2 linked regions of the Astyanax mexicanus genome follow. Each later gene encodes a partner of the first gene's protein in a complex. Links are inferred from orthologs where the notes say so. Each region holds a gene or a part of one and is shown on either strand. Other genes may lie near its edges.

Region 1 (9,029 bases):
TCTTTAACCTCCTGGTCCCCCTGAATTTCTGGGGCCTTCTGTGAGTAAGGCACCAAGCTAATTACGCTAACGGCTAACGTTTATCCCCCCAGATTGGCCCTTCTCTGAGCCTGACCGTTTCCTCTGAGCTGAGCTTCACTCTAAAGCCCCCTCTTGTGGACACAGAAGGCACCACACAACCCCTCAGCTCATTCAGAGTGTGTGCTGATTTGATTTCTTAATGTAAAATCTGTAGAAATGTTAAAAAACCACACAGAATTCAGCCCCGGCTGCTTTAATGTACAGTGCGGTCTGCAGCTTTCCCCCCTCTCACTGCTGCTCTCCTCAGATCACACCAACTGAAATCAACGCAGGGCAGTGATTCATACGGGGAACGAGAGAAAAGGGCAGAGGTGTAACAGTGACAGATAAAAGTTTAACATGGCTTTTGTGGAGTCCCAAAACCACGGCTGTGTGCGCTCTTCTGAGAAACGGCTCCAACCTGACGATAAGGAGCAACGACTGAGTTAAAAAAAAAAAAAGCGTGAGATAATAAGAGAGAAATTGGGTCATTAGTGAAAGCTGTGCAAAAAAAAAGTACGTGTACATTTAGTATACTTTTTTAAGCATTAAGTACATTATTTGTTTTACATCTTTACATCTATTTTGCATTTCAAAAGTATACAAGTAAAATGGTGCAATGATTGCAAGTGTATGAATCATTGCAAGATTAGATCTTAGAAATCCATAATTAAAAATGTCTAGTAGTAAACATTAGTAATGGTATATATTTGTAATACTGTGTAAGATATGTGTACAATATATATATATATATATATATATATATATATATATATATATATATATATATATATATATATATATATATATATATATATATATATATATAATATGCATGATATATGATACCATACTGATAGAAATGCAGGGTGCAAATCAAGCACAAATGCAAGTTGTACATAATTTTTGCACCTTAAAATGGGCAAAATGTCCCATAATTAAGACTTTGTAGTAGTATTTAATTGTTGTAGGTTTATGTTTGAGTAAAATGAACCTTGTAGTTTTATTCTATAAACTACAGACAATGCTTCTCCCAAATTCCAAATAAAAATATCGTCATTTAAAGTGTTTATTTGCAGAAATTGAGAAATGGCTGAAATAACCAAAAAGATGCAGAGCGAAAACAAGTTCATATTCATTTCAGTTCAGTTCAGTTCATATTTCTGAACTTTTAGAGTTTTAGAGTTCAGAAATCAATATTTTGTGGAATAACCCTAGTTTTTAATGCATGTTCTCCTCCACCAGTCTTACACACTGCTTTTGGATAACTTTATGCCACTCCTGGTGCAAAGAAAAAAAATGTATATATAGAAGTAAAGGGTGCAGTAAAGTGTCAAAATATGTAATAAATAGCACAAATAATATATTGTCACTGTCCAATGAAAAACAATTATCTCCAAAACAGCAACTTTACAGAACAGATAAAAAAACTCTTTAAACTTTCAATGGTAGTCAATGTAAAAAAAGAGTTTATTTCAGGTCATTTTAAAGTATTTCTATTGGTCCATTTATCAATAGATTTTGGCACAGTTTAAGGGACAGTTTGTCTGTTCAAATTATGTAGTAAACTAAAAACTGACAAAAATGGAGATACTTGTTTTTTTATGGACAGCAATGATATATATATATATATATATAAATTTGTACAATATATGCATTTTATTATTATGCTTTGCATTATTTTGATATGATTTATTGCTGATAGAAATAAAGGGTGCATTCACTGCAAGTGTGTGAATTAAGCATATATGCAATTTTTGCAAATAGTAAAAAGCAGTAATAGTAAATAGTATATATTATAAACTCTATATACACCATATTTGCATTTTGGATTGTGCAGTATATTGATATATTGAGTAAATGTTTTACTGCTTCATGGCAGGTGTATGAGTTTAGAGCATGGGTAAAAAGTGGGGGAGGTAATGTAACTCAAAATGAGTCAATTTATTAGTTATATGAATTAGAACATATATAACAGTATATATCCATTTGTCAGCTGATGATAAGAACCAATGCTGATGATAAGTTATAAATAACATTTACTAAATATATCAATATACTGCAAAAAACAAAATGCAAATATGCTGTATATCGAGTATATAATATATACTATTGCTACTTTTTACTACTTGCAACAATTGCAATTATGCTTAATTCACACACTTGCAGTGAATGCACCCTTTACAATAAATCTACAATGAATTATATAAAAATAATATATTGCATTATAATACGGAGAATGAGAGAAGGAGAGGTTGATTAGTGGACTCTCAGGTTATGTAGAGGTGTGAGGTGTGAGGTATGATGCTGCTGCTGAAGTGTGTTTTGGACAGATGCTCCTCGCAGTGGTGTGAGAGTGACCCAGTTTCTGCTGCTGCTGCTTCTGCTGCTGCTGGACGCTCTGCACCTCCACCTCACCCTGTTTCCACAGGATGAAGCTCAGCCTACACAGCAGCAGTGGGTCGGGGGGTCGGTGTGGGGGTGAGTGAGTGGGAAACTGGGGTGAGGATGGTGAGGAGGGGGCTTTTGAGGGTTGAGGGTTTTGTTTTTTGTTCCCTTCACTGCGGCACGGAGACAAGCAGCGGAAACCTAGAGAGCTGACCAACAGGTGTGTGTGTGTGTGTGGGAGAGAGAGAAGGGGGACTGCAACTTCTGAAAAGGCTTCATTCCGAGCTCACAGCATTTATCCGCAATAAATAAAGGAAATAAACACATCAGTAAAGAGGAAGCAATTGTTGAAGTGAATAAATATAAATAGAGATCAAACAAACAAACAAATAAACAAACAAATAAATAAATGCTATTTATAGAAATAGGTGGTAAATGAATGCATGATGATATATTTATATATATGCGAAATAAGTAAATATGGAGCTGAATAAATTACACAAGTAAATGAATTGATGAATGAATAAGCAAGTAAGTACGTAAATAAATCATTCAATTCAATGAATAAATAAATAAATAAATAAATAAATAAATGATATATTCATGGACAAATACATTAATACATTAATAAACAATGCCACATACTGCAAAAAATGAATAAATAAATGAACCGGAGCATTTATTAATAAGTAAATAACCAAGATAAGCAAAAGTTAAAAAATAAATAATATTTTTAAAAAGTAAGAAAGAAAGGATAAAGGAAAATGAAAAAGAATAATATATAATGTGCTTTTTATATTTAATACTACCTCTTTCTTTCTCTGCTCTATATAAAGCCACTTACAAAGGATGAGTTTCTGTGATTTTACCAAACTGAAAACCTCTGGAATACAGGGGGAAGATTGTATTCCAGAGTCATCAAACCAAGCTGAACTTGCTTTTTTTTCCAAAAGCAGTGTGTAAGACTGGTGGAGGAGAACATGATGCCAAGATGCATAAAAACTTTGATTAAAAACCAGGGTTATTCCACCAAATATTGATTTCTGAACTCTTAAAATTGTATGAATATGAATTTGGTTTCTTTGCATTATTTGAGGTCTGAAAGTTCTGCATCTTTTTATTTTGTTTATTTCAGTCATTTCTTATTTTCTGCAAATAAATGCTCTAAATGACAATTTGGAAGAAATGTTGTCTGTATATATATATATATATATATATATATATATATATATATATATATATATATATATACTATATATAAAATAAAAAATGAAATAAAATATAATACAAATGATAAAAACTCCACCTCAAACCCTTCAGTAATTATTCATTGCATCTTAAACAATACTTAAATTTTACTGTAATATTTTTAAACCAAATAATAACAAAGTTTGTCAGTAAAATGACCCTTTTAGAAAAATAAGCTACAGCTTTAATTTGCTCGTTGCTTTCCTGTTCGTAGTAGGTTTTCTGCTCTGCTGAGAAATGAGCAGTTTCTGGTTCAGTAGGAGCACAACGGTGTTATAACACACACACACACACACACACCTGCTGAAGCTCACATCTGCACTCACTCACCTGTGCACTGTGTAACTGCGTGAAATAATCAGCATTTTTGCACTGAAAGTCAGTGACAGCGCAGTGGATTTAAATATTTAAATATTTAAACCGAGTTAAACTCATCACGCAAGATTTGGTGTGAATGTGTGCCCTCTTGGCCACGCCCCTTTTCCTTGAAGCGTGCGGTTTTCCCGCGGGTTTGTTTCCCCACATGTATTCTGATGTTCTCGTCCAAAAGTTCCTTATCTATCATGTCTGCTGAAAACTGTGTAATATTGCTGTGAAGATATATGATATGATGTAATATATTGTAGAGGGGCGTGGCTAACACTGAAAAAGATAAATATATGCAAGTTTTAGAATGTGCCATAATTTGCAGCAATGTTCCTTGTATTGTACCATCAAATACAGTTTATCCAATTGTGATGGATTACATCACATTTAATCCATTGGGGGCATCGTAAGCCCTGAATTGTGATATATATCGTAGAGAAGTAATAAAATACAAATATTTTAAGACAACTTTTTTGTTCTCGTTACTCCTATTTCATTTCAGTTGGTTTTCATTCCGGCTTCTCATCCTTCAATAAAACCCCTATCCAGATAAATCTCTCCATCCAGATAGAGTGAATCTGATTGTGACTGGATGTAGAGAAGTATAAACATATACCATTCCGACTCCCTATTGGTTTATACTGTGATCCATCACACCTGCACCAGAAGATCATTTGTGCAGAGACTCAGATATATTTGCATTTTACTTATATTCTTATATTCCTTATTGTGCTATCTTACTGTACGATTGTTGTCTATCTATCTATCTATCTATCTATCTATCTATCTATCTATCTATCTATCTATCTATCTATCTATCTATCTATCTATCTGTTCCACCCGATGTTCAGGTAAGCCACGCCCCTCTATTGCAATGATTGACTAATTAGTCAATCATCCTGGACTTTTTTATCAAAAAAAAAAAAAAAAATTTATTTTTAGTTATATCTTATGAGGTATAGTTAATTTTCATGCTGTTCTCAGTTAGCATCTTTTATAGTCTTATATTCTTTACTGTGCTTTCTTACATAGATAAATCTATCTATCTATCTATCTATCTATCTATCTATCTATCTATCTATCTATCTATCTATCTATCTATCTATCTATCTATCAGGTAAGCCCCGCCCCTGTTATTGCTATGATTGATTAATTAGTCAATCATCCTGGTTTTTCTTTCTAAAAAAACAAAACAAAACAGAGAGAACAAACTCCTGACCAATCGCGGAACAGGTGGGCGGGGCTTTGTGTGGAAAACGGGTGGGGAAAGAAATCAACAACAACATCACACCACCGGAGAGAGTAGTATAGCGCAGCACGAGCGAGATAGATCAAAGTGGGGCACGCGCGAGAGCAGACGCGTGAGGTCTAGAGAGAGAAGGAGAGAGAGAGCGATAGAGCTGGCACGAGGCGGAGACGGGGCGGTTCATTTTTTCATACCTGCCCCCGCATCCCACCCCTCTTCTTGCCCCTCCGCCCCCCTCCAGTCCCCTAACACCCCCTCCCACTCCCGCAGGCAGCTCTATCCCGGACCACAGGTCCCGCGCTGCCCGCATTTCTCGCGCTGCCTCGCCGCGCGCCTCCGAACTTTGCTGATTTTGAACTGAGCTCGAACTGAATTTGAACTGAGCGCGCGCGAGTGACCGTTGGCGTCCAGTAACGGTCGCTTTCTAACGGACTCCTCGCGATTCTGCGGCTATATTTTCATTTATTTTGGTTAATTTAGTTAATTTTGAGGAGTTTTCTCGCCTTTTCCGAAGCTGTCAAGGTGGGAAGCGAGGCGAGACGAAGCCGGTCAGCTTTGGATGGGAAAAGAAGAGAAAAAAGCTGCGAAAAACGAGAAAGAACAACGCAAAACGAAAGGTGAGTGGCTAAACGTCTAGTTGAAGCATTAGTTAAGCTTACGTTAAGTTTTTTTTCTTTTTTTGCGTTTACCTCTGTTACAGGTAACGTCTAACGTCTAAGGTATCGTTAAACGATGCCTGGACTTTAAACGTTCATTAACTTACAGGTGTACGGTAAAAAAAAGAATATCGAATAGACGTTGCTCTTTGGTTGCGTTTAACCTAACTACAGTTAAGTAGTTGAGTTTTTAAGATGCTGATGGAAAAACGTTTAACATTTAAACAACGTTTAAATGGGTTACTTAAAACTGCTTGCTTCATAGGCGTCAGTTAATCAGTTGAAATTATGACTTTGATTCAACGTTTATTTTAAGGCTTTGAAAATCACAAGTTAAGCATTAACTTGCACGTGTAAGGTGAAATGAATATTGAGTTGACGTTGCACTTTGCTCTTTGGTTGCGTTTAAACTCAATTTCTGAAGTTTTAAGTTGTTATTGGTAAAACATTTAAAACATTAAAAAACGTGCAGGTTACTTGAAACTGCCTCATATGCATCAGTTCGTGCTGAAATTCTTACATTGATTAAACGTTTATGCTTTTGTTTTTTATGAGAAAGGTGCTTGCGACAAATAATATAAATTATAATAAGTATAATAATAGTAATGGTTGTCAATATTATTAAAATTGAACTTTCTACACTGTATGTTTGCACATATTTAAGTTTAATACATGCAACACATATAAAACGTATAAACGTTAAACCCATATTAAATCTACGTATCAGTCAATCAGTCAGTGTTTACAAACAATTAAACTCTGACATCGGACATAAACGCTGTTTCAGAGCATTGGAGAAGAAAAAAAAATATATATATATATCGTTAATTCAACAAAATTGAGCGTTAACGTCTGTTGCTGATAACGTCTAACGTCTAATATTATTGATAAAAGTTATTTTATGATATGGTTTTATGATAGAAAAGAGAGGTAAACTGAAGAAGAACAACACAAAACACGAAGTGAGTGGCTGGCATTGCATCGCATTGAGTTTTAACGTTAACTTCAGTTGTCATCAACATCTAACGTCTACTTGGACTTATACAGGTGTAGGCTAGCTTGGTTTTAATCTGAGCTGCGTTTTACTACAAACCGGTTAAACAGCTAGTTAAACATCTTCACACTTACTTAGTTAACTAGCTAAGTGAATGAATTAGCTGGCAGTTAATTAGTTAGTGACTGAAGCCCCCCCCTTCACACATCTATCTAACGTTAACTAAGGCAGAAAGAAAACACCACCTGCTCCCAAAACAAGCTCTCTCCATTATTGACGAGCCTCCATCCCTCACTGTCACATCCCTTTGCTGTCCTCTTTCATCAATCGCCTGATAAAGAATAGATAAGGCCAGGAAAAAAGGTGTGCACTCAATTCTTAAACACTTCTCTTTTATAAGCACTTCAAGAATTAATGCCTCATGCTGTTCTGCTGCTATTTAACTCAAGATTTTTCAGCTCAAGATTTTTGTGTCACACTGATAGAAGTCAAGAGTACCATACATCCATGCAAAGTGATGCTCCTAACTTAGTGCAACACAAACTAAGCCTTAAAAGTTATTTTTATTAAGTAAAATTAACTGTTAGTAGTAGAACATATTGCTATTATGTAGTCATGCTTTTTAATTTAGCTTTTAGTCTTGTTTTATTGCATTTTGATCTTAATATTATAAGCACAACTTCTCTATCATCAATATCAGTTTATACTAATAGAATTAAAGGGGAGAGTCACTGCAAGGGTATGAATTGTAAGCAACGTAATGCAAATAAGATTCAAAGGGCCAAAAATCCTGTTTTATTTCATTGTTTATTCATTTAAAACTCGTCAAAATCAATAGCTTATACTGATAAAAGTAATCAGGACAATAATTGGTAGGTAAAGCAGCAAACTCAAAACAAATCCAAACATCTCGTAATTAAAGATAGTTAATAGTTATTAGAATATTTATATTTATATATGTGTGTATATTTATTTATATACATTTTCAGATTTTTTTAAGCAGTATAATGCAGTTTTTTTCATCAATTTATCATAAGCACTAATCCATTTTTAGATGTTTAATAGTACAAGCAGTGCAGCTGTATGAGTTAATCACACTTTAACTTGTCAGAATGCGTGAGAAAAGCCATATCTAATAATAATAATAATAATAATAATAATAATAATAATAATAATAATAACAAAAAAAAATGCATTAAATCTCTAACTAAACAAAAGTCTCTTTAGTTTAGTTTCATTTTCATTTCCGCATTTTTTTTTTGCAAACATCTCTATGTCTTTATGTATTTGCTTTATATATATACCTGTCCTGAGTATCATAAGCTGAATAAGGGACCAAACCTGTGTGTCCTGAGTAAATGTCTTCCAGATGTGCAAGATAAGCATTTGTGCATCGTATCTATTTAGCTAATAAAACGAAATAAAAAAGCACAAATCACCCAGAAAAGTTTATGATAGCACAAAGGAACACTCTTTATATATATTATAAGATAAAATCTGTATTAACATTAAATGAAATCCAATTAACTACAATAAAGTAACTGTTTTTTTGGTTTATGTCTATTGGATTGAAAGCCTGTGCTTAACATTTTATGTTAGATTTGATATTGACCTTTTTGTTCACAAGCCATCCTTAAAATAAACACTAAAATAAACAAACATGAAAAAAATGTGTTCTAAATGAGGTCTTTTAGTTTATTTAATTTTGGCTCTAGTGCTGTTTTTTTTTTTTTTTCTCCAGTGCAGTGATCAAGGCTGAGCTATTGTTTCATTGGCTTATAAACTTTTAAGTCTATTCTGATTTAAAAACAATTAGTGTCTCAGTTAGTGTTACAGGCAACAAAACGTTTGAAAAATATAAGAAAATACATGATGTCCATTGTAATGCATGCACAGTCTGAAAGGGTTAAGCACAGTTATGTTTAAGCAAAAAGTGCACAGTAGCTTTGGTAGTGTTAAACTAGCTAAATCAACAATGTGTAGGTAAGTTAACACAGCTCAAAATGACTAAAAAAGCATGCAATTTATATATGCAATTATATTTGCATGGCTTTATAGGATATATACATCA
Region 2 (8,833 bases), on another chromosome or scaffold:
ACCAGAGGTCTGCCTGCTCTCTGCAGTCCCTCGGCACCAGCGCACCCACACAGTCGCAGCATGCCAAGACGAAAGAGCTCAACGGCAGCTGTATGCGGCCTAGTCTGCCACCTGAGCACCACCCACCGCCCCAAGTCTCCCCTCCTCAAAACCCTGTGAATCCAACTGGATCTAGCGCCCCCCAGCAGCAAGGTGGCAGCAGCAGTGGTGGGGCTGGCAGTGGAAACACGACCAAATCCTCATCAAAGTCATCTACGCTTGCCCCGAATCCGACCATCAGCAAGCAGATCTTCCCCTGGATGAAAGAGTCGCGTCAGAACACCAAGCAAAAAAACAGCTCCCCCAGCGCAAGCTCAGCTAACGGTGTGTGCCAACCCCTCCCTACCCATCAATGATCACCCACCCCTTCCCAATTACAACCCCACCTGATTTTGTTTCCCTCGAAGACATGTTTTAGCCATACCCTGAACTAGGATTAAAACAGAAACAGAAACTGTTGCTAAATTGCTTACAATGTTCAAGCAGTAGCAATAATAATTTTTGCATTGTGGGTGTGGACAAAAGGATCATAAAAATGTTTAGAATAACTGCAGTAAAACCAACAGTTAAGTGTTATATTGGTTAAGTGGACTATCTGTTACCTGAAACTTGGTTCCTTAATGGTTCATATGATTTTGAAAGGCTCTACATAATATTGAAGTAAATGCATTCCATCATATGGACTCTTCAGTACACACACATATGATGGAAAACATTTAATCAATATTTGATTCAATATCATATAGAGCCTTTTTGATAAACATACACTTGTTTACTAAGACTGGTTCACAGGGCAGCTAAGTTATTTAATGATAGTCAGTGAATAGAGAGCAAATATAATTGCATGTTGCACAGGACGATTGTGGCCGTGGGCATTGGTCTTAATACAATTTACATATACCCGGTCAATGTTAGGGCATACACCTCTTAATAAGTGCCAGTTATGATATGTTGACAACCAATATCAAAGGTGGGGGCAGGGGTAAGCTTTTCTTTATGTGACCAGCTTTATTAAGGGGAATGACGCATTCAATTGCTGCATGTAGTAATTATGTTTTATTTCATTCCCACCCCAGCGGAGAGCAGTGGTGGTGAGAAAAGCCCTCCGGGTTCTGCGGCTTCCAAGAGAGCACGCACAGCCTACACGAGTGCTCAGCTTGTGGAGCTTGAGAAGGAGTTCCATTTCAATCGGTACTTGTGCAGGCCTCGACGTGTGGAGATGGCCAATCTTCTCAACCTTAGTGAAAGGCAGATCAAGATCTGGTTCCAGAATCGACGCATGAAGTACAAGAAGGATCAGAAATCGAAAGGTATGGGTTCCTCCTCAGGAGGGCCATCTCCCACTGGAAGCCCTCCCCTCTCAATGCAGTCCTCTGCTGGTTTTATGAACTCCATGCACTCTATGGGCAGCTATGATGCACCGTCACCACCATCTTTTAACAAGCCTCATCAAAATGCTTATGCCATGTCAACAGCTTATCAAAATCCCATGAAAGGATGCCCATCACAACAGAAGTACGGTAGCACAGCATCGGAATATGACCCACACGTTCTACAGGGTAACAGTGGCAATTACGGGACGCCTAACATGCAGGGTAGTCCTGTTTATGTGGGAGGTAATTATGTGGATGCCATGCCTGCCACTGGGCCATCCATGTATGGTCTCAATCACTTACCACACCACCAGTCTGCCAGCATGGACTACAATGGTGCCACACAGATGTCAGCCAACCAACATCATGGACCGTGCGATACACACCCGACATACACGGATCTGTCAGCGCACCATTCTTCTCAGGGTAGAATTCAAGAAGCACCCAAGTTGACTCATCTGTAGCAGGTTTGGACAAAACAAAAAGGAAAAATAGAAACAAAAACCCATGGGATGATGCAATGGGGTTGAAAAACATGATCCAGTGGTTTCTTGCCATCTCTAGAACTGCAGTTGGTGTCAGTATTGTCCTTTATTCACCTGTGAGCACAATTGTTAATTCAGAGGAATCCACTACATAGAACCCGTAAAGGCCCTTTTAAAGAAAAAGGTTGGTTAAATATGGCTAGTTTATGCCAAGAAATAGATTATTTTACTGTATGAACCAGTGAGGCCCTTGTTTAGGTCATCATGAGCATTTGTGCCATACATCACAGAGTTCTCCAAACTTAGGACTGCTTAAGTGTGGAATGTTATTGTATTTCTGAAACTGGCATTAGGAAACCACTGGACTGTTTTTCATTCAGTTCCCTTCTTTTACATACCTCTTTTTTAAACAGCTCATTAAACATTTGCTTTTTTTCTGTCTTATTTAAACTTGTCAGCCTGAAAAAAACAAAAACAAAATGTGTGCAGTGTCTTTGGCAAGACATGGTAGAAGTCCATACTTGTTTTTTCACTTTGATAAGTTGAGGAACGTTTTCAATCTATGCTACCTGGGCATTCTCTCGTAAACTGGCTAGAATTAAATAATTGCTTTGACGTTGGTACAGGGTATAACAAAAAAAAAGAGTAAAAAAAAAAAAGATCAGTGGGCGTTCATGGCCATCCCTACATTTTTTAACTGATTAAGCCCCTCCTTCGCCCTCCTACTCTTGCTCTCCTGCGCCCCCTCCCCCCTCTCTCTCTCTGGGTTTGCTTACATTAGCCCACACTAATGCGGAAGGCCCACACTTTCTCATGTCTTGACTTAACGTGGAAACAGGGTATAATTGAACAAAATGCATGTCCGAGAAACCAGGCAGTGGTGTAGACGTTTCGGTTTACGCCGATTGCTTTCTTCTCTGGGCATCGTTGTTGCACTTAGAGTTTACATTTTGATGGGTATGGGAAAAAGTAAATCTTATTTTGAAGCGAAAGACCTTCAATCAGCGTCTTTCAGTATGTGTGTTCAAATGAACATTCATAAATATATATTTATTTGTTATAGCCAGTTTAAATACTTTCTTTTTTGTATTATTTATCCCCCATGTATTTATATCGAGAAAGTGTACTTTTTTAGTATTTACCTGTTATAAAAAGCAGACATTGTGTTCTTGTCATTGTAACTAATTTTAGTTTCTGTATTTTAGAGAAACGTAGGTTTTTGTTACCTTTGTACATAAGCAATGATTTGACTTGTACAGGGTACGTGAGAGCGGACTCGAACCGTTCCTGCTTAGTCGGAAAATAGACATTATAGCGAACATTTCTTTTGGAATCTTTATTTGTTCTTTGTAGCTACTTTGATTTTCTTGTTAACAGTTGGCTGTTGAACAATTCTTTAATAAATGTTATGTTATTCATTTCCATTCTTGTCCTACGTCGCTTCAACTTTTCACACAACACACACACGTGGTACATCTGTCCTCATGGCTTCTCAAGAACTGCCCTCAAGGCAGCACGCAAAGCACTGGTCACGTGAGGTGAGGTTAACCCAGGTCTACTCTCTGAGTTCCCTCTGTAAATCAAAAGCCCCTTTAAAAAGTTAACATAAAAAACAGTACATTAAAAGATAAAACAAAGAAGATTTTGTTTATTCAATATTTTTTGTCGTAGGGTTTAAACAACATTAATCATAATTTATTCAATTAAAATAAACATTATCACTTACAAAACACCCAACTATTCTAATAGTATCAAATTGAATGAAATATTTTGAATCACATTGTCTTATAAATATATCATTTGCAGTGAGCGCATATAAGTGGCATTTATCTGTTCTTGCAAAATACAAACAAAACGAAGGTTCGCTGAGTATTTTTTTTTTAATTAATTTTCGACAGCTTCATTAAAACATACAAAGGTAAACAGACCAGGATTACAATGACTAAAGCCAAAACAAAATAAGTAAAGCAAGCAGGGACAATTCACGTATCAAATAACTACATTTTCATATCTTAATAAATGTAATATCCCTCATATATTTTGTAACCAACAGTAATAAAACAAATAGTAATAAGTAAAATCGATAGATAGATAGATAGATAGATAGATAGATAGATAGATAGATAGATAGATAGATAGATAGATAGATAGATAGATAGATAGATAGATAGATAGATAGATAGATAGATAGATACGGTAGTACCCTTTAAAAAAACGTCCACAGAACACGGTAAATCCTTTCGTCAAAAAATGTCTACAAATATTTTTTCTTAATCAGCATTTCTTTTATCCTGGGTAAAATAAAAGACAGAAGGAGAGATCGATGTATCCCAGTAACCCGCACCAGCTCCATTCTAGAAATGGGCCTCTTGAATTGACCTCCTCTTTTTCACATGCCCACTTCCCCCAGCTCTGTTTGAATGCTCTAATACCCAAACTCCCACACACATTTTATTCTTTCCTATGCTTCTTCCAGCAACGAAATGAGCGACGAGACGAGCTTGTGCAACAAACTGCACATATAAACAGCAACTTGTGCTTTCATATTGTGCCATGATATACGTTTAGTCTTGCTCAATCAGCGATTTAATCCTTTTGATTTAGATCCCAAGCAAATAAAGCATTTTTGCAAAAAAAAAACAAAACAAAAAAAACAAGAAAAATATCTAATCATGTGTAGGAATAATGGGGGTTTTCTTTGTTGTGATCCTGGAGGGTAGACGCGAATTCTTGAGGGTGGTTCCTGTCAAGCGCATTGCCTGAGAAAAGATTGATCACCGCTGCTCCTTTACTACTTAGTTTCTAAGAATATCTACCCCATATCTCATTCGCTTTAAATTTGCAAAAAATTGGCTGTGCTCTATAAATGTATTTCAACGGAAATGTCGTATATTGCTAAAGGTGACTCGGTTAACTAGCATGTATAGTAAACTGTGCTATTTTCCTTTTTACTATATATATATATATATATATATATATATATATATATATATATATATATATATATATATATATATATATATATATATATATATATAGCAATTAAATAGTTATTGTTTGGTAAGAACATGTAATACAATATCTGTATGTGAATTTTATTTAATTTAGTCTAGTCAAAACAAGACTTCAGCTGCTACTTACGTGAATCCATTTTCCGAATGAGTCTCATGGTAGATGAACAGGCTTAAATGATTATTAAATTATATCTACATACAGGATTCGCATCGTCTAGGTGTAATTAGGAACCCCCTTGTCCGACAGAAATGACTACGAATCTCAAAGTCTCTCGATGTATTTATATTTAATAACACAATACATGTAGATTTTCATAGACAGGCCGTATATTCAGACATGTCTTGTCTGTTACTCTTGTCAAAACTTTTAAGATTAATGACTCTCACTAAAATGCGCAGTTAGCCATATTGTGGATGTGCACTTAACAGTCGCTTTAGGCCTGAGGATTACATCACCACGAGCTGTGTATTCATATGGTCATTGTCTCAGTAGGACCGTACTTAACCACCCACGCAGACAAGCACTGGATAAACACATGGCAACCGTGTACATTTTATTTATATGTAAGCCCCCGCTTACATCCCAATTCTATGATCATCTTGAATATTTGATCAAATCAGAAAAATAATGCTTTCTTTTTGCCACAAGGCCCCGCATTTCGATTGGCTGATAGCAGTCATGTGATCAGGAATTGGCTGCAATTTCGCCCATAGTCTTCAGTTTAGTAGACACAGGTCCCCATACGCTAGTAATATCACCAATATACACAATTATTAAAGCCCGCAAATGCAGCCATAGCGAGAGCGCAAAATAAAACGACGCCTTTTGGATGTGATTTTTGTGCGTTTTGGTGTCGCTGATCGCCCTTCTTGACTAGGCGAAGCGATGAATTTTGAATTTGAGAGGGAGATTGGGTTCATCAACAGCCAGCCTTCCCTTGCTGAGTGCCTGACGTCTTTCCCCGCTGTCCTGGAGTCATTTCAAACTTCATCAATCAAGGACTCGACAGTAATTCCACCTCCTTTCGAGAACACCATCCCCAGCCTGAGCCCTTGCACAGGCAACCAGGCGCGACCGAAGAGCCAAAAGCGAACCGCCTCCAATGGCCTCCAGCTCCGGACGCAGGCAACACCGCCAACGCAACAGCAGCAGCAGGGCCCGGCTGCACTATCGGGCGGTTGTCCTCTGGCCCACGAGTTCCCATGGATGAAGGAGAAGAAATCGTCAAAGAAGTGCCCCAAGCCCGGAACAGCGGCAGCGGCAGCGGCAGCAGCCTCTGCAGCTGCCTCCCCATCTCCAGCATCCTCTGGCTATACCACAGCGGGACTTGAGTCCCCGACAGGTCAGTTTATCAATATATATATATATATTTTCCCCGTAATTTTCTGTTTTGTTTCTGAACACATGCTTTCTGTAATTATATAAGGGTGATATCAAAATAATTCATGAATAACATGTAGTGCAGCTACAAAAAGCATCAACTGTCGTCCATTCTAAGCGATTCAGAACAATAATGAAATTTTCCAAGCTTTTATATTCAAATGGTCTCTCATCGAAAATGTTCCCTGCTGCTATATTATATAGGACATTTTTGGCAACATTTCTGATATGCCTTTTATCCCTAACATTAATTTGAAATACAGTGTGCCAGTACTGTGAATTGTTCAAATTATGTTACTATCTTTTAATATCAAATTGTCAGTTATTTAAAAAATAATTTCACAGTACATAAGTAATTGAATTAATATTTTTAAAATCATTGTGATTAAGGTGTACTCATAAGATAACTATTGTCATCTCCCCATATTTTTTGTGCTAATATTCGATGTGCATTCTGGCAGACAAAATTGCCGTTACTTTGATGTAGATAGTAAATCTTTCTCTGGAATGACTGTTTAATCGCAGTTGATGTCAGCGCTGTCTTAATGATATATATTCACAACCATGTCTCATGGCTTGGGGTAGCCATTTTGGATGTCAGTATGCACTGTGAGGGCAGTTGAACAAAACAAAATATGGGGCTTGCTGCCTACATACTGCAAGGCGGTTCCATCGCTTGGGAACTTGGTTCTGCAAAACAGTGCCGCGCAGTCATCCAAAAAGCGGACCAGCTTTTGAATAGACTTTTTGCGCAATTTAGTAATTTATCGTTTTTTTTGTTGCAGACATACAAGGAGGGCTGGACAATAGTAGTGGTTCGCGGCGTCTGAGGACTGCCTACACCAACACACAGCTGCTCGAGCTGGAGAAGGAGTTCCACTTTAATAAATACCTCTGTCGACCCAGGAGAGTGGAAATCGCAGCACTATTGGATCTAACCGAACGACAAGTCAAAGTGTGGTTTCAGAACCGGCGCATGAAGCACAAGCGACAGACGACGCATCACCGAGATGGCCAAGAGGGCGAACCTAGCGGCTTTGAGCCCCTAGACGGCACCGACGCCGCCTCGCCTTACTCGAACCAGCCCCCGGAATCGTCGGGTCCGGGATCCAGCTCAGGTTCGGCGGCAGCTTCGGAGAGCGAATCATGCCCCCCTGCCGCCTGCTACACGAACAGTGCCGACAATAGCCAGCCCACGCCTGAGGAAGGTCAGGCGATGCGGCCGAAGTGCACATCTGTTCCTGACACAGCGATGCACTCCCCCCCGTACCCAACGCCCACTGCAGAGACTTCGGCTACAATGGGCAGCGAAGGCCGAGAGCACAGCGCGTTCCCTGAGCCGCAGGACACCAACTCACTTGCTGACTTGAATTTCTTTTCCACTGACTCCTGCCTACAGATTTCGGACGCTTTATCACCGAGTCTGCAAAGCTCACTGGACAGCCCCGTAGACTTTTCCGAAGAGGATTTTGACCTGTTTACGAGTACTCTTTGTACCATAGATTTACAACATTTACAGTTCTAATTGACTGTAACGTTTAGAAAGAACAATTCAAATCCAAATGCATCTCATCACAGTTTAATGATTTTGTTGACTACAACATTCCTGAAAAAGAAGGACAAATTCCCTTCTGGGTTATATGCAGGCATAGTTGTGAGACGAAGCCGTGGCGGGAAAAAAATATTGCTTTGACAGTATTACGGTGACCTATTATAGCGAATCTACCACGGGATTACCCATGGCCAGTTTCAGGTATTTTACTGTCTTTTGTTTGTCTCGCTTTTAGTTTTGGGGCTGACTTATGCAGATAAATGTTGTGGGGACTTGTTTTCAGTGGAGCTCAATCATTGAATTCTCAGGAAATGTGTCAGAAATGAGGCTAGCTGAACTGCTTTTAGGAAATTCTCCCGAGACGGGCGTTGCCCCAATGATGAATTTTAGAACTAGTTTATTTATTGAGATTCTTTAATAGTAAATTTCAAATTATTTATTGTACATTATTTTCATAGTTGAAAATAAAACATTTATAAGCTGGAACACAGTGTGGATGATTTTCAAAGGTCAAACTGAAAGAACTTCAGCAGCAGTATGTTATTTTGTTGTCACTATAATTATGAATGAAGAAATAATTACTCTAGTAATTAAAACATTACATTTGGCAGTCATATTTATTGTATGGGCTTCAAACTATAAAATCAGAACAATTATTAATACAAGAAAATCATTATTATGACAATAACAACAACAACAATAATAATAGTAATAATAATAATAATAATTATTATTATTATTATTATTATTATTAGTAGTAGTAGTAGTAGTAGTATTAATATTAATAGTAGTAGTAGTAATAAACTTTTGAAAAAAATTAACCTATCACATTTTATTGCATATGAGTAGCATAAACCCATCACATCAGAAATATCTTATGCATAATGCATAAGTAGCATTTTTTAGGTATTATTTAATTCTGATTTATTTTTTTCACTAACAAAATTACTAAATGGGCTATTTAGAAAAAACGTTTTATGTAGACCGTT

What was found.
Region 2: DNA-binding protein SATB1 (region 1) and hoxb2a share a complex: the UniProt entries of both Homo sapiens proteins name them as parts of the nuclear protein complex. The link is inferred for Astyanax mexicanus from reciprocal best matches to the Homo sapiens genes SATB1 and HOXB2.

What each region holds. Positions count from the first base shown.
Region 1 is NC_064408.1:119,012,843-119,021,871, reverse strand, and holds the start of DNA-binding protein SATB1, read left to right. Parts: upstream 1-5,432; 5' UTR 5,433-5,925; intron 5,926-9,029. UniProt on the Homo sapiens protein: Crucial silencing factor contributing to the initiation of X inactivation mediated by Xist RNA that occurs during embryogenesis and in lymphoma.
Region 2 is NC_064426.1:33,374,151-33,382,983, forward strand, and holds hoxb2a (homeobox protein Hox-B2a), read left to right. Parts: upstream 1-4,952; 5' UTR 4,953-5,797; coding exon 5,798-6,254; intron 6,255-7,077; coding exon 7,078-7,817; 3' UTR 7,818-8,330; downstream 8,331-8,833. Other genes in the region: hoxb3a (homeobox protein Hox-B3a), read left to right, coding at 1-363, 1,116-1,876. UniProt on the Homo sapiens protein: Sequence-specific transcription factor which is part of a developmental regulatory system that provides cells with specific positional identities on the anterior-posterior axis.